2 linked regions of the Sus scrofa genome follow. The protein of the gene in region 1 interacts with the protein of each later gene in a pairwise test. Links are inferred from orthologs where the notes say so. Each region holds a gene or a part of one and is shown on either strand. Other genes may lie near its edges. The genes, in order: TMEM239 and CXCL16.

Region 1 (10,473 bases):
ACTCAGTGGGTTAAGGATTCAGAATTGCTGTGAACTGTGGAGTAGGTCGAAGACGCGGCTCGAATCTGGTGTTGCTGTGGCTCTGGCATAGGCCAGCGGCTACAGCTCCCATTCGACCCCTAGCCTGGGAACCTCCATATACCGTGGTCGTAGCCCCAGAAAAGGCAAAAAGAAAAAAAAAAAAAAGCCAGAATCCTGCACATACCTCCAGAACCAGAATCTGCATTTTGACAAGATCCGCAGAGGATTCAACCCCAGAAGATTCACCGTGCACATTAAAGGTCGAGATGCACTAGATGGAGGTTTAAAGCAGCTCCATCAAAAATGCATGAGCTTCACAGCTTTCTGAGTTTGATGGTGTTTGATGCTGTCACTGGAAATTTTATGTCAAGCCACAGAGTACACCTATGTAACATTAGGAAATTGCTATTTCATTCATCCTGGGAGAGTATATTCCTGATCTTCACCATAGGATCCTTTTGGGCTGCCCCACAGCATACAGAGTTCCCAAGCCAGGGATCAGATCAGAGCTGCAGTTGCGACCTTTGCAACTGATTTTCTTTGTAAACTAAATCATTTTTACCAAACTACCGCAGAAAATAATTTTAAAGGTAAATCACACTTAGGCTAGAAATAGAAGACTCTTTTCCATGCTTCTCTATTCCCAAGTCAACCACTTTTAGTTCTGTCTCTTACTTCTTGTATTTACCTTTATGTTTCTATCGCTATTTCTTGGATTTTTATGTTTGGATTTTATCGTGGATTTCCTGCTGTGGAATTAAGGATTTAGCTTTCCTACTACCCTTATCCCCAACACACACCAAAATACCCAGACTTATACTTTTTCCCTCTTACCATCCTCCCAAAATGAGCTAAATCACTGCAGTCAATATTCAGTGATTACACTATGACCATGTAAGTTTTATTGTTCAACTTTCTGTGTTTGCTGGAGTTAGCAATTACTTTGTTTTATCATTTTTGTTTGGTTTTCTAGGCTCCAATTGTTAATTCAATCCCAAAGCTTCCAATAGAACTGAACATTTATTTTACATCCGTCTAAAAATAGCAGATAATCAGCAGATGTCCTTCCTGGAACATCTATCTTTTGATTCCAGGCTAGGTTGCTTGCTTTGTTCATCTAGAAACACAGCTGACACCCCAAGCCTTTCTCATCATCGTTCTCCTGTATTTAACCTCACTTCTTAAAATTCTATATTGTCATCTTTCTTAGTTCAAGTCCTTATTTTTCTGAGGCACATCCTCCAGTAGCTTCCTTTAAAAAAAAAAAAATGTATACAAGGTCAAATTTTTAAGACCTTGTCTGGCTTAAAATGTCCTTATTCTACCCTCACACTTGATAGTCATTTAGACAGATATGTGTTACTAAGTTGGAATGTCGTGCTTTATTGCTTTGGGAAGAACCAGGAAAAGGCAATCAATGAATGGTCCCAAGGGCTGGTGGCATTGGCGCTATGGACTATTGAGCCCATTCCCACCAAAGGTGTCAAGGCCACCAGGCTTGAGTCTTTGTTCAGAACCCACTGGAGGCAGATGTGCACCTGGATTTTTTTTTTTTTTTGGTCTTTTTGTCTTTTTAGGGCAGCACTCCAAGCATATTGAGGTTCCCAGGATAGGGGTCTAATCAGAGCTATAGCTGCCGGCCTACACCACAGCCACAGCCACAGCAACGCCACATCCAAGCCGTGTCTGCAACCTACACCACAGCTCACAGCAATGCTGGATCCTTAACCCACTGAGCAAGGCCAGGGATCAAACCTGCAACCTCATGGTTCCTAGTTGGATTCATTAACCACTGAGCCACAACGGGAACTCCGAAGCTGGATTCTTCTCTGTCTCCTCCTCTCCTGGAGGTTGTATGGCCACTGTCCTCCTACCCCTGCCCCTATCAGTTTTCCTTCAAAGTATGATATGTAAACAGGAATTAAGCTCTCTCAGTGATGACCCATTTCCACTCTCACCTCTTAAGTCTCTAAACAGAGATGTGCTGGAACTTCTGTAACCATTTACGGATTCGCAGTGGAGAGTTTTCTTTTCCCGGTGACTGACCCCTTCATACATGTTCATGTTCCCTAATTTCATCCTCAGAAGGTAAACGTAATCTCCAGTTTGGGGATTATCAGGTTATGGCCCTCTTTCATTCACCTTCTCAGTGCCATTTCTGGAATCCCAGTATCCAGAACACCTCCCGCAAACCACAGTGCTTCAAACGTCTAAAGAGGCCCCTCCTGTCAACCCCACCCCACCCCCTCTGGCCCATTTACCAGGTCATATGGGAACCCTGCCCCAGAAAGCCTCAGGTTGCTTCCTGGCAGAGTCTATCTCTGCATTCCAGGACTGCAGTTCTGAAAAATCCCCCACAAGAGCCCACTGGCATCATCCTACTCTCTGGGGAGAGAGCTGGGGACAGACTGATTGAGTCACTTGCCCCTGGACACACAGCCCAGGAAGCTCATAAGGCAAAGAAAGCAGCCCTTCCTCCCTTGGAGAGCTGCCCATACAGTGATGGGGTTAGAATGTCTTCCCAGCAACACAGATCCCCACGGGAGGGCCCTAGAGTGGACGATTAGCAAAGGCAAGAGGATGAGTCTTTAGTTCTCCAAAGTCAGGCTTCCTCCTATCAAGCCACAGCAGCTACTTAGGAGGCCAGAGCCAGCAGCAGCCCCCTCCCTACCCCAGGGCCCCCCAGGCAATAAGTCACAATGCTCCGGCTACCCAGCCCCCCAGAATGGCTGACCCAAGTGGGAGGAGATGAGGAGGGTTTGGTGGGTGGGTGTGTGGGGAGGAGGAGATTCCCGAGAAGCCCAGCTCTCCACTGCTTGAGCTCACCCTTGAGTGTCCGCCAGGGCCCCCCATCGCCCTCCCCCATGGTCTCATCCCCCAGATTCCTACCCTTCCCCATTCCTTGCTGTAACTGCCAGCTCCCTCCATGACCCAGCTCTGCTCATCCAGGCCCAAGGGCCCTGCTTATTCTATCCCAGGCCTTCCCAGGGGCCTGGGTGCTGGGGAAGGATCGGGTAGCCCAGTGGGTCCATGTGTGTCTCCTGGGGGCCCTAGCCCAGCCCAGCTCCTGGACAGTGTCCTAGGGCTGGGGGCACTGGGGCTGACAATTTGGGCCGTCTTTTCCACAACTGGCCCAGCCTCACTGCTGCTGCTGCTGCTACTCGTCAGCTTCCTGGCCTTCGATCTGCTCCACCGGTAAGTGCACAGCAGCTTAGCAGGCGGGCAGGTGCACAAGTGGTCAACCTCCCAAAGCCCAGCTGCCACCCTTTCTCGCCACAGGCCTGCAGGTCCCACCTGGCCACAGCACACACATCCACGTCTCACAGGGGGCCAGAGTCAGGGCGCCGGCGAGGGTCCGGGACAAGTGGAGGCTCTACTCCTGCCCACGGTGGGCACAGGACAACTCGCCCTCCAGGAGGCTCTGCTGATGCTGCTCTTGGGCCTGGGGCTCCTCCTGGGAGCCCGTGGCATGCCCTTGACCCTGCTAGCCCTGGCTTTCTGTCTCCATCCTTGGGCTTGAGTGTCCTCCAGAAATACACTGGCCATGCTATTTCCTCAGGCCTTCTTTCCTCCACCCTGGGCTGGGCAGATGGAAGGATACTCTTTCTCCTCCAGCCTGAACCCCAGGGGAACCTCTGCTCCCACAATAGGGACAGTGGATACCTAGGTCTGAGTCCGAGGACATCGGCCAAAACCGAGATAAAGGACAAGGAGCCCAGAGGAGGATGTGGTAGCCATCTCAGAGCCCGTAGGTTGGGGTGGCTAGTCTGGCCTCCTGGGTGGTTCTAGAGAATGAGGGTCCAGAGAGAAAGACTTGCAAGAGAGCAGAGTGGGACTGGATATCAGCCAGCAGGGAAGGGATGAGGGGATCCGGAGAGGGCTTCCCACAAGGAAGCATGAGAAACTCCCCTGCCAGTCCAGAGAGTCCATGAGAGAGGCTCAGGTAAGGCTCATGCTCACACCCTCTCTTGGCTGGACCCCACCCCAGCCCGGGTCACAATGGGGCTCCTCTGGGGAGGGTGAGGGGAGTGAGAGTGGGAGCTCAACTCTGGCTGCCAGGCCGTCCTGGGCGCTGCAAGAAGCAACATGACTTAGGTGGCTCTGCCAGGAGGTAAGACCCAGGCCCCAGCTCCAAGCCCCACCCCACCCATGCTGGTACCCTCCTGACCCCTGCTACCACCCCCACCCACCCATCCTGAGGTCCCAGGCATCTCCAGGGCTGCTCCTGCAGCTGGCCTGGCCCTCTCCCCAGGTGCACCAGCCGTGATGCAGCAGCTGCGAGTGGAGACAGATGCCACCGGAGCCGGTGAGGGGCCACAGCGTGCTGTGCCCTGGACGGCCTGGCTCACACGGGACAGCTGGGTGCGCTGGTGCATGTGCCACATGCCCCCGAGCTGGGCCCAGTGGTGGATCACATCGGGCTGGCGGCAGCCGCTGCAGCGTGTGCTGTGGGGTCTGGAAGGGATCCTCTACCTGCTGCTGGCGCTGATGCTCTGCCATGCACTCTTCACCACCGGCTCCCACCTACTGAGCTCCCTGTGGCCCGTGGTGGCTGCAGCGTGGCGCCATCTGCTGCCGGCTGTCCTGCTGCTGGCGCTCAGTGCCCTCCCCGCCCTGCTCTTCATGGCCTCCTTCCTGCTGCTGTTCTCCACGCTGCTGAGCCTCGTGGGCCTCCTCACCTCCATGTCTCACCCAGGCCTTGCTCAGGACTTGGACCAATAGAAGGGCGACCCCATCCTGCTGCCTGTGTCTGTTGAGCCCTGGCCTAGGGCCCGAGGCCCAGGGGAGAGGGAGGGCAGTGGGACCAGGGCCTTCCTGCCTCGGCAGGCTCCAGACCTTCAGTCCCTAGCTGGGGCTGGTCAGGGCCTGCTGGCAGGGTAGGGGCATCTCTCTCAAGCTGATCCTCCAGGTACTTGGTATGGGGGGCCAGGGCATAGGGCAGAAGGCTGAGCTGGGAGCAGAGCTAGGCCAGGCCACCCAAAGCTCCCACGTGCATGTGGTGACACCCCTGGGACACCCTTAGCAGCTGGCAGCATCTTTTCCTTGCAGCTGCTCAACTGTCTCCGCTTCGAGCTCACAGAGAACATCTACCTGGGTGCCCCTGGACTTGTCATTCACCCCGCCAAGCCCGTCTTTCCCCTTCCCCAGGCTCTAGAAAGAGCCCAGTGACAGAAACTTGGCTGGGAGAGGGCCGGCCAGAAGCCACATGAGACCTCAGCCAAGCCTCCTCCCAGATTTTCTGCCCATCCATTCCCCACTCCCTAGACTTCCTACCTCCTGCCTCAGTCTACATCCTCAAGTCTGGGAAATGGGCCAACAAGGGTCATGAGGTTCCCAGAGAGCACCTACGGCTTAAGACTCCCTAGGTTTGCTAGGGAAAAACAAGTCCCATTTCACCCACCTACGCAATGTGTGGCCTTCGCCAATTAATTCTTTTGAGCCTTGGTATAAAGTGGGTCCTGTCATGGAGCTGTTGTGAGTCAAAGGCAATAATACCAATGTGTGAAGGACTTTGTATAAAGGCCAACAAGCCAGAAGATAAGAAACTCTAAAGAGCAGAAAGCTTCTCCAGGGCTTCAGAGAAATGTTCTGGCATAGATACAGTTTGGACCATACAATGGTAAACAGAGGATGGATGGGTGTGAACAAGAGGTAAAAGGTTGTGTGCCATGGGAGTTCCCATCATGGCTCAGTGGTTAACGAATCCGACTAGGAACCATGAGGTTGCGGGTTCAATCCCTGGCCTCACTCAGTGGGTTAAGGATCCGGCGTTGCCGTGAGCTGTGGTGTAGGTCACAGATGTGGCTCGGATCCCGAGTTGCTGTGGCTCTGGCGTAGGCTGATTAGACTCCTGATTAGGGTCTGATTAGACTCCTAGCCTGGGAACCTCCATATGCCTCGGGGGCAGCCCAAGAAATGGCAAAAAAAGACCAAAAAAACAAACAAAAAAAAAAGGTTGTATGCCATGAAGTCTCAAAATACGCCGATGTTGAACTCTTCTGATTGTGAAATGCTTGGGGCTGGGCCTTGGTGCCAGGAGATGCTTGCCCGGCTGTGTGAGTGGGAAAACCATAGCCCATGGGTTTCTAAACCAACCCCAAAAGCTGCTTCCAGCCCCCAAGAGGGCCTTGGAAAATGACATCCCTTCGTGCCCAGGATGCTGCCTGTTCACCCATCAGCTCACCCTCCAAACAAAACAGTAGGCGATGAGTTCTTACAAGTAAGGCACTTTATAGATAGCTAAGACCCACCACACCACAAACTGCAGCTACACTGTTACTCTCCCATTTGGAGGTGAGAAGTCAGCCACAAAATAGCAACTGGCAAGGGCAAGGCCAGGTTGTTTGAGTCCTAATTCACTCTAATGGGGAAAGCGATGGAGGAAATATAGCCTAACTGAAAACCTCAGGGCTTCTCAATGCCTGTTCTTAAAGTTTCTGTCAGCGATGAAGCCAGGATACCAGTCTTGAGTCCCTCATTGACTTGGCTGTACATTGCTGGCCATGGACATCACTCAGGAGCCTTGGGGTCATTCTGATTAAGAGAGGAGGTTTAAAGAGTTCCCCTCGTGGCTCAGCCATTAACACACCCAACTAGCATCCATGATGACTCGAGTTGGCTCTCTGGCTTTGCTCAGTCGGTTAAGGATCCGGCGTTGCTGTGACCTGTGGCGTAGGTCAAGGATGTGGCTCGGATTCCACGTTGCTGTGGCTGTGGCATAGGCCGGCGGCCTCAGCTCTCCACTTTGACCCCTAGCCTGGGAACCTCCATATGCAATGGGTACAGCCCTAAAAAAGCAAAAGAAAAGGTGGGGGGCAAGACCAGACACACTGGGGGTTCGGATTTTGGCAGGAGCAAGGAGAAGGCCTTCCTCTCTTCCCCACACACCTCCTGCATTGCTTGGTGTGGGGTAAGGTGGCACAGCCAGACTGGAGCCAGCAGACGGGTAATACTTACCGAATTAAATCAATGCATACCCTATGACCCAGAAGGCAAAAATGAATACTCACAGAGGCCCATAATGGCCTAACTCCTCAACGTATGGTCCCAGGATCAGGAATATAGACATCACCTGGAAACCGGCTAGCAATGAAGAGTCTCAGGCCCCATTCCAGACCTGATGAATCAGAGCCTGTGTTTTGACGAGACTCCCAGGTGACACAGGTGCACACTGTTGGAGAAGGGCTCCAGGTGAGAAGATGTTGCCACCTTTGAGAATGGTGACTGCAGGACATGGAAAAGTTAAAATACAGTGAATAAACACTTGGAGAAGAGGCAGCAGCTAGAAGGGGTGGAAGCCATCTGGACTGATCTTGAAAGTGTAGCGTTGAGAAGAAGCTGAATGAGAAATAATACAATTCTTTTTATGCAAATTTAAAATGCATGGCAGGGTTCCAGCTGTGGCATGGTGAGTTAAGGATCTGGCTTGTCTCTGCAGCAGCTCGGGTCACTGCTGAGGCGTGGTTTCCATCCCTGCCCAGCACTGTGCGTTAAGAATCCTGTGTTGCCACAACTGCGGTGTAAATCGCAGCCCAGCCGTGGCTCAGATTCCATCCCTGGCACAGGAATTTCCATACGCCAAGGGTGTGCCCCACCAAGAAAAAAAATGCATGCTAGCAAAACCAACTTTTTTTGTTTTAAGTAAGAACAAAAACAGAATGGAATGGCCAATTCCAGGGCCAGGCAAATGAGAGTGGAGCATACAGATTAAAGGGAATAGAGTGAGGGACCTTGCAGACACAAACATACGTATATATCATGAACATAATACCATTATGAAATGAAATATAGACAAAGTCATCCGTTTAGATTTAAAATGCTTTAAAATGTAAGCCTGGGGTGAATGAGCATGCTAGAATATAGTTCTAAGCATTTCTGTTTGGGCCAAGAAGGGAGAGCTGTCCCACTGGCCTGGTAACCTAGGCGGTTGGGTGGGTTTATTTGCCGGCCCTTCCCCTCCCGACCCGGAAGCTCACTCAGATGGGCTGGGGTAGGGGTGGGGATCAAGTAACCAGTGGGGCCTGGCCAGGAAAAGAATGCGATTAGGCGGAGCAGAAGAAACGCGCGGAGGAGGTGTCCAGCCGCCCAGGGCCTTGCATCTGAGAAAGCAGAGAGGGGATTCAGAGCCGCACCCCCGCATTCACGTTCCCTGGGGGCGCCTAGGAGCAGGAGCTCCCAGTAGGACTTTGCTCTGCCCACAAGGACCAGGGAGCAACGAGTAGGCGCCTTCGGGACGCGGAGGGTCTGGGAGGGCAGAGTCAAGAGGGCTCTTAAGGATGGGGCCTCCATTTGAGATGGAGTTGTCTGTGGCCACCCTGGAGGGCAGGAGAGGGGTCCCTGGAACGAGGCGGTGCTGCGCTGGGAAAACCGCTCAGGGCCAGCAAGGGGGAGCCGGGAGAGGGTGCTCCCATTCAGACCCGTGCTCAGCGGGGGTCGGGGGAGTGGGCGGCTCAGTCATTCGCTTCGGGGGAGGGGAGCCGCAGGCCTCAGAGGAGGGGGGCGGCGACTGGATCCTGGGGTCTGGGAAGGCGGAGGAGGCGGCCTGCGCTGCGCTGCGCTGCGCTGGGAGGTCGCCCCAGGAGCGGGACCCTGCGTAGTCCCCTAGGCTCAGGTGCCCGGGAGAGAAGTCGGGGCGACCACTGGAGAACGCCGAGCTGACGGGTAGACCGCGGAGGCAGAGCGGGGTGGGCAAGGATCTGGCGTGGGGAGGACACCCCGAGCCAGGCCAGGGATCGGAGGGCTGTGGGCACCCACACAGGGAAGGCGCTTGCCATCCTCGTCAACGACACCCTCCCTCCCCCACCCTTGGAATCGCAGCCTTAGGATTCTGTGCGAGGCGCTCCGTCCTGGCAGAGATCTCCAGCTCTGGTTAACCCAGTCGGACTCAGGGGTTGTGGGAAGGGAAAGATGCGGGGGACGGGTGTCTCAAGAGCCGAGACACCGGTAGTGGGGGAGAGGGTAGATCCTGGGGCCCTGGAGAAGCATCTCTGGCCCATTGTCTTTCCAGTGGAGACTTTACTGACTCCTCGATTTCTCCTTAACCCAAATCTCTAGACTGGGTCCCCCAGCCAGAAACCAAGAGGCATCGAGGCCAGAGCTCATGAGCATCCTGGAGAAGGGAGAGCCCAAACTAGCAGGCTTCACCTTCTGGGACTGCTGTCCTCACCCTAGTCTATTATTCCATTCTTCCTGGGGTAAAGAGCTGTCTTTTGTCTTTTGTGAGGTTCTATGAGGATCTGGAGGCAACCAACTTTGGACAAGCTATTTTCTTTATTCTTCCTTTTTTTTTTTTAGGCCTGGACCATGGTGAGTGGAAGTTCCCAGCCGGGATCTTACCACAGCGGTGACAAGGCCAGATCCTTAACCCACTGAATCACCAGGGAACTCTTGGAAAACTATTTTCTGCTGAGCAAATATCTCTATTGCCTTTCAAATATTTTCCATCTTAAAAATAAAACCTTGGGAATTCCTGTTGTGGCTCAGGGGTTAACGAACCCGACTAGTATCCATAAGGAGGCAGGTTCGACCCCTGGCCTCCATCAGTGGGTTAAGGATCTGGCATTGCCAGGAGCTATGGTCTAGGTCACAGACGCTGCTAGGATTCCGCATTGCTGTGGCTTTGATGTAGGCTGGCAGCTACAGCTCCGGTTCGACCCTTAGCCTGAGAATTTCCATATCCTGTGGGTTCCACTCTAAAAAAAAAAAAAAAAAAGGCAAAAATAAATAACTTAAGAACTGGAGTTTTTACAGTAGTTTTTGGCTTGTGTCTTCAAATGTGTAACCAAAAATACAATTTTTTAAAATTGACATGTGATACTGTATACTTGCAAAGTATTTGTAACATATGTGAAAGTTGCGAAGACCACATCCATCTAAAAACCACATGGTATGAGGATAGGGCCTCTTCCTTTGGGTTCATCCTGACTATACGAGCTGGAATTCCCAGACACTAGCATGTGGAATTGCTGTTTACAGGTACCTTTGGCTTGATCCTCATTTTAAAAGAACTACTTCTAAATTTTCACCACTAAGACTTACTGTGGAGTTTCAATAGTTAAATTTTATCCAGGGACAATGAAGCACACTGAACAGTCTCAAGGTGCTTACAGTATAAGAATTCCAGAATTGGGATGGGGTTGGAAGTGGGAAAGCCTAGGAAAGACTCAGTAGGGAAGGTGACAGGGATTTCTTAGAGACTAGAATGGGAAGCAAAAGAGAGGGGCTCTGTGAGGCTTGGTAACTCATTCCTTTTTTCCACAGATCAGCCCCGAGGTACAGTTTCCCCCAGAAACACCGAGAAACCTGATTCAGAGGTGTAAACAGAGAAAAGGGTTTGGGGCAAAGGCAGGAAGGAATGAACAAGGAATTGGGCAACCTAACGAGAAAAAAAATCAATTTTGCCGTAAAAATTATCTAAACCCTTACCCCTCCAACAAGAAGCTTTCTTTCATT
Region 2 (11,996 bases), on another chromosome or scaffold:
GAGTTGGGCGGCCATCAGTAAAGAAGCTGAAGCCAGGAATCATGGTAAGGGGGGCAAGGGTATAGGGCCAGGGTTTGCAGAAAGAAGAGGCAATAATTATAAAAATAAGTTTTAGTCATTAAAAAATATATAGAATTAGTATAAGATCTCCTGTATAAAAGGCAATTTTTACATTATAGCACAAAACACCAAACACACAGAGGAAAGATCTAAGAGAGGGCAGTGGCTGTTATTTGTGTATTGAATACTGACAGATACGTAGAGTGTCCCAACCATGTACCAGTGATTGTTCTAATGTAGTAAATGCACTTGATAGTAACTAAATCACATTATACCCTCACAAGCTTTCATCCTTAGCTCAGGTGTTGATATTTGATGCCACAGGAACATAATGAAGCTGAGGATCTAAAACAGAGAAAGAAATGGAGAGATGAGCTCTGAGAAGTTGGAGGGGCAGGGGAGGGAGCGGAGGTGATAGCTGAACTGGGCAATCAGATTCCAAAACATTAACTATATGACCAGGTACACAGTAGGTGCTCAGTAAAGACTTATGAGTTGAATAAATGGCTCCTCCACTCCTCCACAGCTTCATCTCCCACTAGGCTGCCCCAGCTGCCATCTGTTTTTTTTTTTTTTTGGTTGGTTGGGTTTTTTTGGCCACAGTCGCAGCATGCAGAAGTTCCCAGGCCAGGAACTGAACCCACGCCATGGTGGTAACAACGCCAAATCCTTTAACTGCTAGGCCACCAAGGAGCACCCCCAGCTGCCCTCCTGATGTTGCTCTAAGCACAGCCTGGCTCTGAAGGCCAAGCACTGGTCCCTGAGGCTATGGTGGCTTCCCTCCCTCCCCATCCGCGGTCTGGCTGACTCTTCCCTCCCTGGCCTTTCATCCACGGTGCAGACACCCTCCATGTTTGTCTGCCTGGAGCTACCAAGGACAGGATCCTTGCCAGGAGGGCTCTGGGTCCCTGGAGGAGGGATGAGAGGCCCAGTTTACCTGGAGGGTACTGACGTGACTGCTCCTGCCTCTTCTTGCACATCACGTAAAGTAGGACTCCGGTGAGAAGGAAAATGATGACCAAGAGGGACAGCACTGGCACCAGGGCTGATGTTCCCGCTGTAGCACCCACATTTTTTCCTAGCTGCTCCTGGTTCTCCCTGGCCTCAGACTTAGCCCCCAGACTGTGGCCCACAGTGGATGTGTCGGTTTCACTGGTGGGGATGAGCTTTTTGGCCAAGGATGGCATGCCTTCTGGAAGCGTGGGCTTCTGGGTCGGCTGCAGGGTAGATGGCAGATTCGTCTGGGCAGGGGTGCTACTGTCTGGAGGTGCCCTTTCTGGGAGTTCAGGAACCCGGGTGTTCTGAGGAGCTAAATGCTGCTGGTGGGCCACCGTTCTGGCATGAGCACGTCCACATTCTGTAGAGGCAAGAAGCAAGGAATCAAGACGATGAGGAGACAAGGTGTAGAAGTAGGTAGGAGGGAGGGGAGCGGGTCAAGGGGACCATCAAGGGAACAGGTAAAGGCCAGAAAAGGAAGGCAGGGGCAGAGGGAGAACAGGGAGAAGGAAGTAAGCAAACCACAATGTGGAACCACTGGGGCGAGTGTGCATTCTGAACCGGGAAGTCAGGAGATCTGAGCTGGAACCCAGGCTCTGCTACAAGGTAGCTGTGGCTCTGCCCCTTGTCTCTGAACCTGTCTGGGATTCATTTCTTTCAGCTGTAAAGTAAGGATCATTTTAGTACCAAGGGCCAGAGTAGCCAGGAAGAGTAAAGGAAATAATGAGTCTACACAGCCAAAAGGCAGTATGGGGACCACCAACACTACAGAAGACAGCTTTAGCTGGGACCTGGAAGTACCTTTTGTGTTTTTTTTTGTTTTGTTTTGTTTTGTTTTGGTCTTTTTAGGGCCACACCATGGCACATGGAGGTTCGCAGGCTAGGGGTCAAATCAGAGCTGCAGCTGACAGCCTACACCACAGCCACAGCAACACCCGATCCAAGCCTCATCTATGATCTACACCGCAGCTCACAGCAATGCCAAATCCTTAACCCCCTGAGCGAGGCCAAGGATCAGTTCTGCCTCCTCATGGATACTAGTCCGGTTCGTTACCACTGAGCCACAATGGGAACTCCATGGAAGGACATGTTGTGTTTTACTGCTTGTGTATTTATTTTAGGAGAAAAATACAACCAACATATGAAATTTGTGACTTCACAAATGCTTTTGCTTAGGACAAGCTGACATTAAGTTTTTCAAAAGTGGCTGTGCAGGAGTTCTCCTGTAGCACGGCAGATTAAGGATCTGGCATTGTCACTGCTGTGGCTCAGGCTGCTGTTGTGGCATGGGTTTGATCCCTGGCTTCAGAACTTCTATGTGTCATGGGCACAGCCAAAAAAAAAAAAAAAAAAAAAGTGGCTGTGTACACCTAAGATTTACTCATTTCATTGCAATTTTTACCTCAAAAGAAAAAAAAAGGAGCAACAAAATATAAAACACTCTTAATAATATACATGACAAAATGTCACAGAATAAAGTGTAGTCAAGCCTGCAACTTGCTTGGTAATGCCCAAAATATAGTAGCTGGACTGATGAGGGATGGAGGGGGACAGACAGATGGGTGTGCAATAAAGCAAATAGAGTTAAAATGCCATGAACTTAAATGCCATAAAATATATTTGCTTTGGAGTTGCCACTGTAGCTCAGTGGTAACGAACTCAACTAGTATACATGAGGACTCGTTCGATCCTGGCCCTCTCAGTGGGTTAAGATTCGGGCATTGCGGGAGTTCCCGTCGTGGCACAGTGGTTAACGAATCTGACTAGGAACATCCCTGCCCTTGCTCAGTGGGTTAACGATCCGGCGTTACCGTGAGCTGTGGTGTAGGTTGCAGACACGGCTCGGATCCAGCATTGCTGTGGCTCTGGCGTAGGCCAGTGGCTACAGCTCCGATTCGACCCCTAGCCTGGGAACCTCCATATGCCGTGGGAGCGGCCCAAAGAAATAGCAAAAAGACAAAAAGACAAAAAAAAAAAAAAAAAAAAAAGATTCGGGCATTGCGGTGGCTGTGGTGTAGGCTGGCAGCTGTAGCTCCCATTCCACCCCTAGCCTGGGAACCTCCATATCCCGCGAGTGCGGCCCTAAAAAGCAAAAAAAAAAAGAAGAAGAAGAAGAAGAAGAAGCAAGTACACAGAATAGGAATGTGAGGTGACTAAGGGCTGAGGCAAAAAAAAAAAAAAAAAAAAAAGTGCATTCCAGCTTGCTGACCCCTGGTGGAGGGCAGGGGACTCACCTCCGCGATCAAAGCAGCCCATCAGTTTCAGCACCCACTGGTCACTGCTGCCTCCACATACACTCCCACGGGGTAGCTGGAACCTGCGAGGAAGGACTCAGTCTCAGCGGTCTCCCCTCTCCACCTCCTACCCCTTTCCCAGCTCTTTCCTCGTTCCAAAGAAGTGAGGTCATTGCCAAGATTCGGCAGTTTCTGCTGGGACTCGGACATTCCAGGTGGGAATTCAGGGAAACGAAGGTGTGGAGAATTAGGGCAAAGATAACCCCGAGAGAGGGCCAGAGCTCCTCCCAGAAGGAGTTCGAGTTTGACCACAGAGGGTCCTGGAGACCCCGGGAGGCACTGCCCTTCCCGCCGGGGGTGAGATTACCTGACGTAGGAAGTACAGTGTTGATAGTGGTTCAGGTATTTCCGGAGATGTCTCATGTCGTGATCGGTCGGAGGGGAGTGGGAAGAAATCCTTCTATTGCAAGGACAACTTCCAGCCATGCTGCCTTCGTTGCCATTGCCTGAGTGGGAACGAGGCGGTCAGCACAGGTTGGACTCAGCCTCCAACCCAGAGCCCCAGTGCAGCCTCTCGCCTAGACCTCAGGATCTGCCCCCAGGTTCAACCCACACACCACACTCCGCAAGTACGTCCGCAATCACACCTGGACCCAGGTGTTCCCCAGCCTGTTCCCCAACCCCAAGCAGCTGGTCCTTGGGGACCCTGGCTCCCCGCTTCTTCAACCCAACCCCGTGGACCCAGTGCTCCCCACCCCTTTCCCGGGATTTGGGGATCTGGGCACCAGCCGGGGCCTCCCCGAACCTGGTGGAGTCAGCCACGCTAGAAAGAGTGCGAGCAAGAAGAACCAGAGTTCCCAGAGCGGCATCTTCTCCCGGCGGCCTCGCCCGGGCTGACACCCAGACGAGCTCGGGAGCCTGGCGTCCAGCTGCTTTCTCAGGAGCTTTCGTTTCCTTCTCCCGCTCCGCCTGACCATCGGCGAAGGCGGCGCGCGAAACGGCCGCGCCTCCCTCCCGGCGCCCTCACCGGCGCCCCCGGGGCCTCGAACGGACAGTACCGTCGAAGTCGCGTGATCGCCAGCCTGGGCGGCGGGGAAACTCCGGGAGGCGGAGCTCGTCCGCCCGCGCCCCCGCGCCCCCGCGCCCCCGCGCCCCGCCCCCGCGCCCCCGCGCCCCCGCGCCCCCGCGCCCCCGCGCCCCCGCGCCCCCGCGCCCCCGCGCCCCCGCGCCCAGCCCAGTCTCGTCGAGGGGCAGCCAGGAATGCACGAAGGCGAAAGAAAGCGAAAGAAAAGCCCAGGCTGCCCGGCCAGTGCCCGCTGGGCTGATCCGGTTCGGTCCCGGAATGCCAGCCCCGCCAGCCCGCCCTCCCCGCGATGAGAGGCTCTCACTTTCCCAGCCCGGGTCTGGGTGCGCCGGGATCCAATCACACCGCCGGCGTGATGGCAGCAGGCCAGTCCGCGCGCCCAGTCCCTTAAGACACATTGGGGGCGGCCTCCGAGCCGCGAGGGTGCAGGGGGCGTGCCACCCGAGGACTGGGCTGGGGGCTCGGGCGCCCTGACGTCACGCCCCAACCCGAGGTATTTACCTTCGAAAAGAGGTGGCGGCTGCAGGTACCGGAGTAGTGGAGCGGCCGGGAGGGGCTACGTGTACCGGGGCGCACCGCCAAACCGCTCCAAGTCGAAGGGAAGCCCGGGCTCCTGCTCCCTCCTCCCAAACCCATCGACGGATCCAAAATTCTTCCCTCACCAAAGCCTTTGCCATAGGATTGGCCTTCCCTTCCCTCTAGCCTCATCTCAAACCCTACCTTTGAGGATTTGAGCCTCAAATACCATCTCCCTCCTGACGACTCAGCCTTAACCCTCATCACCCGCTTTCACGTCTGGCCCCCATTTTCATCCTGAACTCCCATCCTCAGCCCTGAAAACTCCATTCTCCATCCCAACACTCACCCACAGATTCCACCGCAAGGGACCCTTAAACCCACACCCTCCCCCCTGTTGAGACCCAGCCCCAAACTCTCCCCCATACCTCTCCCTCACCATATATCCATTCCTCTGCTCAGCCTGGGCCCAGGTCCTGTGCCCCTGAAGACATGGAGTTTGTGTCTGGATACCGTGATGAGTTCCTTGATTTCGCTGCCCTTCTCTTTGGCTGGTTCCACAAGTTCATGGCGGAGCGTGGGGCTGTGGGGACCAGCCCCGAGGGCCGCTGGCAGCAGCTGGAGGCTCAGATCAGAAGGCTGCCCCAGGACCCTGCCCTTTGGGTGCTCCACGTCTTACCCAACCGCAGTGTGGGCATCAGCCTGGGGCAAGGGGCAGAGCCGGCCCAGGATCAGGCTTGGGGGCTGCCCGGCTCCTGGGAGACGAGCCCCCACTCCACCTGCGAGACCTAAGCCCCTATGTCAGTTTTGTCAGCCTGGAGGAAGGGGAGGAAGGGGAGGAGGAGGAGGAAGAGAACGGAGAGGAGGAGGGTGCAGGTACCAAGAAGGTAGAAACAGAGGAGGCTGGGGAGGCAGCCCCTCCCAGCAGGCAGTCCCCGCAGGAAGCACACCCTCCAGGGGAGCCGGAGGAGGCCAAGCAGGAGGCAGGAGGTGGCGAGGACGGCTGCCAAGAGGACAGGGCAAAGGACGAACCTGAGAGGAGGAAGGGACGGAGAAGTGGTAAGACTCCAGGGGTGGCCCTACCCTGCTCCCTGCCCAGGCCTACCCCCCTTCTGAGCCCTCCTGTGCCCCTCAGAATCCAGCTAGGAGTCACCAACGGGTGGCCCTCAGGCCAGTCTGGCCTGAAAAGGTGTTTCCATTGATCCACAATGATTTTTTGTCTTTTAATTTGGGCTACTATGTAAACATCAAAAGAAAAAAAAGCTGCAGAAGTTTATCTATAGTTAGTTACACAGTCTCGAGACAAATTTAAGGTTCCATCAGCAGGACCACGATTCCCCGGCAGCAAATGCTGGTGCTGCGCAGCATCTGTCCCCTTCCGATGAAGCATGCCCTCTCCTCCTAGTCCCCTCCCTCAGGGTGCCTGGCCCTGACCGTCTCTGCTGCCACCCGCCCCTGGCTCTTCCCTTCTTCCCCAGAGGCTGCCCCCCTGCACCTTTCCTGCCTCCTACTGGTGACAGATGAACACGGCACCATCTTAGGCATTGACCTGCTAATGGATGGAGCCCAGGGGACTGCAGGCAGGGGCTCAGGGACTGAGAACCTGGCTCCTCGGGCCTATGCTCTCCTCTGCCACAGCATGGCCTGTCCCATGGGCTCTGGAGACCCCCGAAGGCCCCGACAGCTTACCGTGGGAGATGCCCGGCTGCATCGGTACAGATATCTGGTGGAGGGTGGGGAGGGCCTAGGGGCCCGGGCTCCTAAGCTCCCCTGCCTGACTCCATCTCCACTCCCCATCAGAGAGCTGGAGAATCTGGTCCCCAGACTGGGAGTGAAGTTAGCCAAGACCCCAATGAGGACATGGGGTCCCCGGCCAGGCTTCACCTTTGCCTCCCTTCGGGCTCGGACCTGCCACGTTTGTCACAGGCACAGCTTTGAAGTGAAGCTGACACCCTGGTGAGCGGCCTGCAAAGATGGAGTGAGAGGGGAGTTCCCGTTGTGGCACAGGGGTTAACTAATCCGACTAGGAACCATGAGGTTGCGGGTTCCATCCCTGGCCTTGCTCAGTGGGTTAAGGATCTGGTGTTGCTGTGAGCTGTGGTGTAGGCTGCAGACACGGCTCGGCTCCCGCGTTGCTGTGGCTCTGGCGTAGGCCGGTGGCTACGGCTCCGATTCGACCCTGGAAATCTCCATATGCCGCGGAAGCAGCCCTAGAAAAGGCAAAAAGACAAAAAAAAAAAAAAAAGATGGAGTGAGTGGGAGGAAGACCCCAACAGTCAGGCAAACAGAGAGGAAGCAGGCTGCTGGTGGGTGACCCTGAGGAAGACAGAGCTAGGGACAGGGAAGCACAGTGATGAAAAAAAAAAAAAAACACCCCAGGGAGTTCCCGCTGTGGTGCAAGGGGTTCGGGGGCGTCCCTGAAGCGCTGAGGCGCAGGTTCCATTCCCAGCTCGGCACAGTGGGTTAAGGATCCAGCATTGCTACAGCTGGCTGGGGAGCTCCATATGCTGCAGGATGGCCAACAAAGAAACAAACAAAAACCCAAGCTATTATAGGCGCAGAGAGTATGAACAGACTGAGTGACATACAGACAGCTGCAGGACAGATGGATGGCAGACAGGGGACCTGCTAGGACTAATATTGGGTGTCCACTGCCCCCTGTGACCCCAGCCCCCAGTGTGGTGCTGTCTTATACTGTGGAGAGGCTTGTCTCCGGGCGGATTGGAAGCGATGCCCAGATGATGTGAGCCATCAATTTTGGTGCCCAAGGCTTGCAGCCTTCATGGAGCGGGCTGGAGAACTGGCAGCTCTACCTTTTACCTACACTGCAGGTACCATAAGGAGGTCAGAATGGGCGGGGGGAAGTGGGACCAGGTCTTTGGACCTGGGGCCTTGGGTTTGAAAGCTAGGCTTGAAGGCCAAGTGCCGGGGGGCTGGAGTATAGATCCCAGCTAGGCACTGGTTATTTGGGGCTGGGGGCTAGACACCTGGGGCTAGAGACAGCAACTCTGGAGCTGAAGCCCGAGTGCCCATGGTCCCTGAGAAAGCTTCGGGAATTCAGGAGTGGGGATTCAAATACTTGTTTCCCTGCTCTACCACTAACTGATGACTTTAAATCCCTTAATGGCTTAGAACCTCAGTTTCCTCATCTGTAAAATGGGGAGATGTTAAACAAATGTTAAAATCCATGGAATTGTTTTAAGGATTCTGTGGGCTCCATGCCTGCTACACTGGAGATACTCAGAAATGTTAGTTCTCTTCCTGCCCAGAACCAGGCTCAGACCTAGGGTCCTGGGGAGCAACTGGGGAGAGTTCAAGTCTGGAATCCTGGCCACTGTGCTCTCATCCCTTCCCCACGTCCTTCTCCAGAGGTGACCAGTGAAACCTTTAACAAGGAGGCCTTCCTGGCCTCCCGGGGCCTCACTCGTGGCTACTGGACCCAACTCAGCATGCTGATTCTAGGCCCTGGCACCCCCAGACAGCCCCGTGGCACCACGCCATCCCTCAGCCTTCTTCTCAGCGGTGCGTGGGGCCCCTCTGTCTACAGGGAAGGATGGGAGCCCACAAAGGTGTCGGGGCCTAGAAAACCCCGCCGCAGACACACCCAACTCCACCCACCGTCAGCACCGGGCACTTTGGGCCTTTCCCCAACCCTCAAAAAAGTCACCCTGGCCCACTGCATGCAGAAGCCCCATCCCGAGGCAGCTTCCCATTCCTCCTGCTGCCAATCCAGGCCCTCTGGCTCTCAGGGAACACAGTTCCTTTGGAAGAAGGAGAGGCCGAGTGGGGAGCTCCCTGAGGCCAGGCTCATCTTCTTTAATTCTCTCAGGAGATCCCTACCAGCTTCTGCAGGGGGATGGGCCTGCCCTGATGCCTCCTGTGCCCCTAGATCCACCCAGGAGCCTCTTTGGTGAGCTGGAGGGGCCCTGAGGGAGCCAGGGGTAGGGACAGGGACTGGAAGGCCAGCCATCTGGGTGGCTGAGGAAATAGACTATTGGACTGGAAGGGTTGGGGATCAAGCCTGGGACCAGGTCCCTGGTAACAGACTCTCCCCAGGCTCATGGCAGGCTTACTACACATGGCGGGGCCTCGGCTTGGACTCCCCCATGGCTGTGCTTCTCACCTACCCGCTGACTGTGTACTACGTCATCACCCACTTGGTGCCCCAGTCCTGTAAGGAGGGGGGGCAGGGGGAGCTATGCAGGCCGTGGGGGGAGGGGGCAGGGAGTTGGTAGGGGTCGGTCGGGGTGGGGTGGGAGGGAGACCACATTCTTAGATGGTGAGCTTATCACCCAGTCCCTGAGCTCAACATCCAGAACAAACAGTCACTGAAAATCCATGTGGTGGAGGCCGGGAAGGAGTTTGACCTTGTCATGGTATTTTGGGTAAGTCCCTCCAGGCCTTAAGGTTGGGCATGTGGGGTGTGGAGGTGGGTGCAGGCTGGGACCCAAATCTGTTCTCTCTGTCCCTCAGGAGCTCTTGGTCTTGCTCCCCCACGTGGCTCTGGAGCTGCAGTTTGTGGGTGACGGCCTGCCCCCCGAGAGTGACCAGCAGCATTTTACCCTGCAGAGGGTGAGGGCGGAGGGGGGCCCTGCTCTTCAGCCCTGACGCTCCTGCTGCCCTCTGACCCGGCCCTGGCCTTCCGATCCCTGCCTCCTCTCCCCCATCTTACCTGATGCACCCTCACTTCCACTGGCTTCTGCACCCACTTCTAACTCCCCAGGATGGCCCCGAAGGATCTGTCCGTCCCAGTTCCGGGGTATCAGCACGGCTCAGCTCTGGGATGAGGGAGAAGGGCGGCCGCAGGGACCTGCAGATCAAGGTGTCTTCGCGGCCCTACCACCTGCTGCAGGGGCCCAAACCCGACTTGGTTATCGGTAAGAGCCTGGGGCCGGAGGGTGGGGAAGATGGGAGAAGGGGGCCATGGGAGCCAGCTTCTCCCTGCTCCCCCTCTGTCCGCAGGATTTAACTCCGGCTTTGGTCTAAAGGACACTTGGCTGAGCTCGCTGCCCCGGTTGCAGGTGGGGGATGGGACCAAAGTCTCTTCTAAAAAATTCTCTTCTTCCCCATCATCCGCTCCACAGACCTGGGGCGAGCCCATGGGTCCTCCTGCCCCTCTACGTATCTGCCTCGTGCCTCTCCCAGTCTGTCTGGGTCCGCAGTTGTCAACCCGGGCTGCCGTCCTTGGTGCTTGGGAGATTTGAGGGGGTGGGGGCCTTTCCGAGAGTGTGAGGCCTCGCCCCCCCCCCCCGCCCCAGTCCCTCCGAGTGCCGGCCTTCTTCACCGAGAGCAGCGAGTACGGCTGTGTGATGGACGACCAGACCATGGCGGTGGCTACAGGCGGGGGTACCAGCCCTCCGCAGCCCAACCCTTTCCGCTCTCCCTTTCGCCTCAGAGCAGCCGACAACTGCATGCCCTGGTGAGGCCTTCTCACTCCCTGGCTCTGCGTCTTAAAAGGCCCCCCTCTGCCTGGTTGTCTGGGACCCTCCTGGCTCCAGCCCCACCCCTGTGCCTTCTCGGCTCGCACTCCCAGCCAGCGCACTGGCGGGCCTCGACAACGCCCCTACACCTCTCTTTAGAGCCGGCTCACACAATCTCTCCTCGCCCACCCGTTTAAAAGGGCCCTGCCACCCACCCTCGGGCGGGTGGAGCCCGCAGTCTCGTCCCACCACCCCTGGAACTCCCAGGGGGCCACGCCCCCCGCCCCTCGGGAAACCCCGCCCATGGCCCCGCCCCTGAAGGCGCCACGCCCCCCCGCCCCCCGCCAGGTACTGCAACGCCTTCATCTTCCACCTGGTCTACAAGCCTCCGCAGGGCGGCGGCACCCGCTCGGCGCCGGTACCGGCGCCCCCCGCCCCGACTCCGGCTGCTCCTCCCGCCCCCGCCCGAAGGCGCCGGGGAGAAAAGAAACCTGGGCGGGGGTCCCGCCGGCGGCGGTGAGGGCTGAGAGGTAGCAGTGCACCGCCTCCCCCTACACGCCTCAGAGAGGAACACGAAACATGCGAGACCGAGGGGGGAGGCCGGTTGGCGGAACACGAAAAGGTGAATAAAATTACCTGTTTGAAACCATCGAGTCAAACGCTCATAATTAGGTCCTTAAAAGGGGAGAGGAGAAGCGAATTGAAGACTGACGTTTTCCTCCAGCTTTTTTCAGTTCCTTGATGGCGGTGCCCTCTCTTACTGGGTATTCTGCTCCTCCTTGGTAATCTTAAACGTCTTCTAATGCGGGTGTTGATAAGTCATTTTCCCAACCAGTAACCCCTCAGGGACTAGATCCAAGGCAAAGAAAGACCTAGAAATAGAAAGTGGCTTCTCAGTGGCCTGGGACTCCCGGGAGGCATATAACCTCCTAGGAGCAGAGGCAAGCCTCAGTTTATTTTATTTTATTATTATTTTTTTTTAAGGGTTGCTCTCATGGTATATGGAGGTTCCCAGGCTAGAGGTCAAATTGGAACTGTAGCTGCCAGCCTATGCCACAGCTCACGGCAACGCCGGATCCTCAACCTACTGAGCGAGGTCAGGAATCGAACCCACAACCTCATGGTTCCTAGTCGGATTCGTTTCCACTGCGCCACAATGGGAACTCCAAGCCTCGGTTTAGATTCAGTGACAGACCCCAGACACTCAGCTTTCCAAGTTAGAAACCCTTGACCCCACCTTCTCCAGTTCTTCAGTTTGCATAAAGAACCAACGCCGGCTGAGTCAGATGCTGCTGGTCACTGAGACCCCATCAGTCTATGCCCAGTCCCATCGCAAACTCCACTATATCTTGTCTCACATCAGCCAGAGTATCCCTTCTAAAACAGACATTCAAGATATCACTCCCTGGGAGTTCCGTTGTGGCTCAGTGGTAATGAACCGGAGTATCCATGAGGCTGGGGGTTCGATCCCTGGCCTTGCTCAGTGGGTTAAGGATCCGGCGTTGCTGTGAGCTGTAGGTCTGTAGGTCACAGACGTGGCTCGGATCCCGCACTGCTGTGGTGTAGGCCGGCGGCTACAGCTCCGATTGGATCCCTAGCCTGGGAACCTCCATATGCCATGGGTGCTGCCCTAAAAAAAAAAAAAAAAAAAAAAAAAAAAAAAAAATCCCCATAACCGTGGGCTGG

What was found.
Region 2: the proteins of TMEM239 (region 1) and CXCL16 interact in a two-hybrid assay, tested with the Homo sapiens proteins (2 studies listed by BioGRID). The two-hybrid records come from large-scale screens. The link is inferred for Sus scrofa from reciprocal best matches to the Homo sapiens genes TMEM239 and CXCL16.

Annotation. Positions count from the first base shown.
Region 1 is NC_010459.5:32,832,430-32,842,902, reverse strand, and holds TMEM239 (transmembrane protein 239), read left to right. Parts: upstream 1-3,813; coding exon 3,814-3,850; intron 3,851-3,969; coding exon 3,970-4,123; intron 4,124-4,214; coding exon 4,215-4,743; downstream 4,744-10,473. Other genes in the region: C17H20orf141 (uncharacterized protein C20orf141 homolog), read left to right, coding at 2,948-3,216, 3,301-3,541.
Region 2 is NC_010454.4:52,138,368-52,150,363, reverse strand, and holds CXCL16 (C-X-C motif chemokine 16 precursor), read right to left. Parts: upstream 4,160-11,996; coding exon 4,096-4,159; intron 3,797-4,095; coding exon 3,658-3,796; intron 3,374-3,657; coding exon 3,291-3,373; intron 1,418-3,290; coding exon 998-1,417; intron 406-997; coding exon 359-405; 3' UTR 344-358; downstream 1-343. UniProt on the Homo sapiens protein: Acts as a scavenger receptor on macrophages, which specifically binds to OxLDL (oxidized low density lipoprotein), suggesting that it may be involved in pathophysiology such as atherogenesis. Induces a strong chemotactic response. Induces calcium mobilization.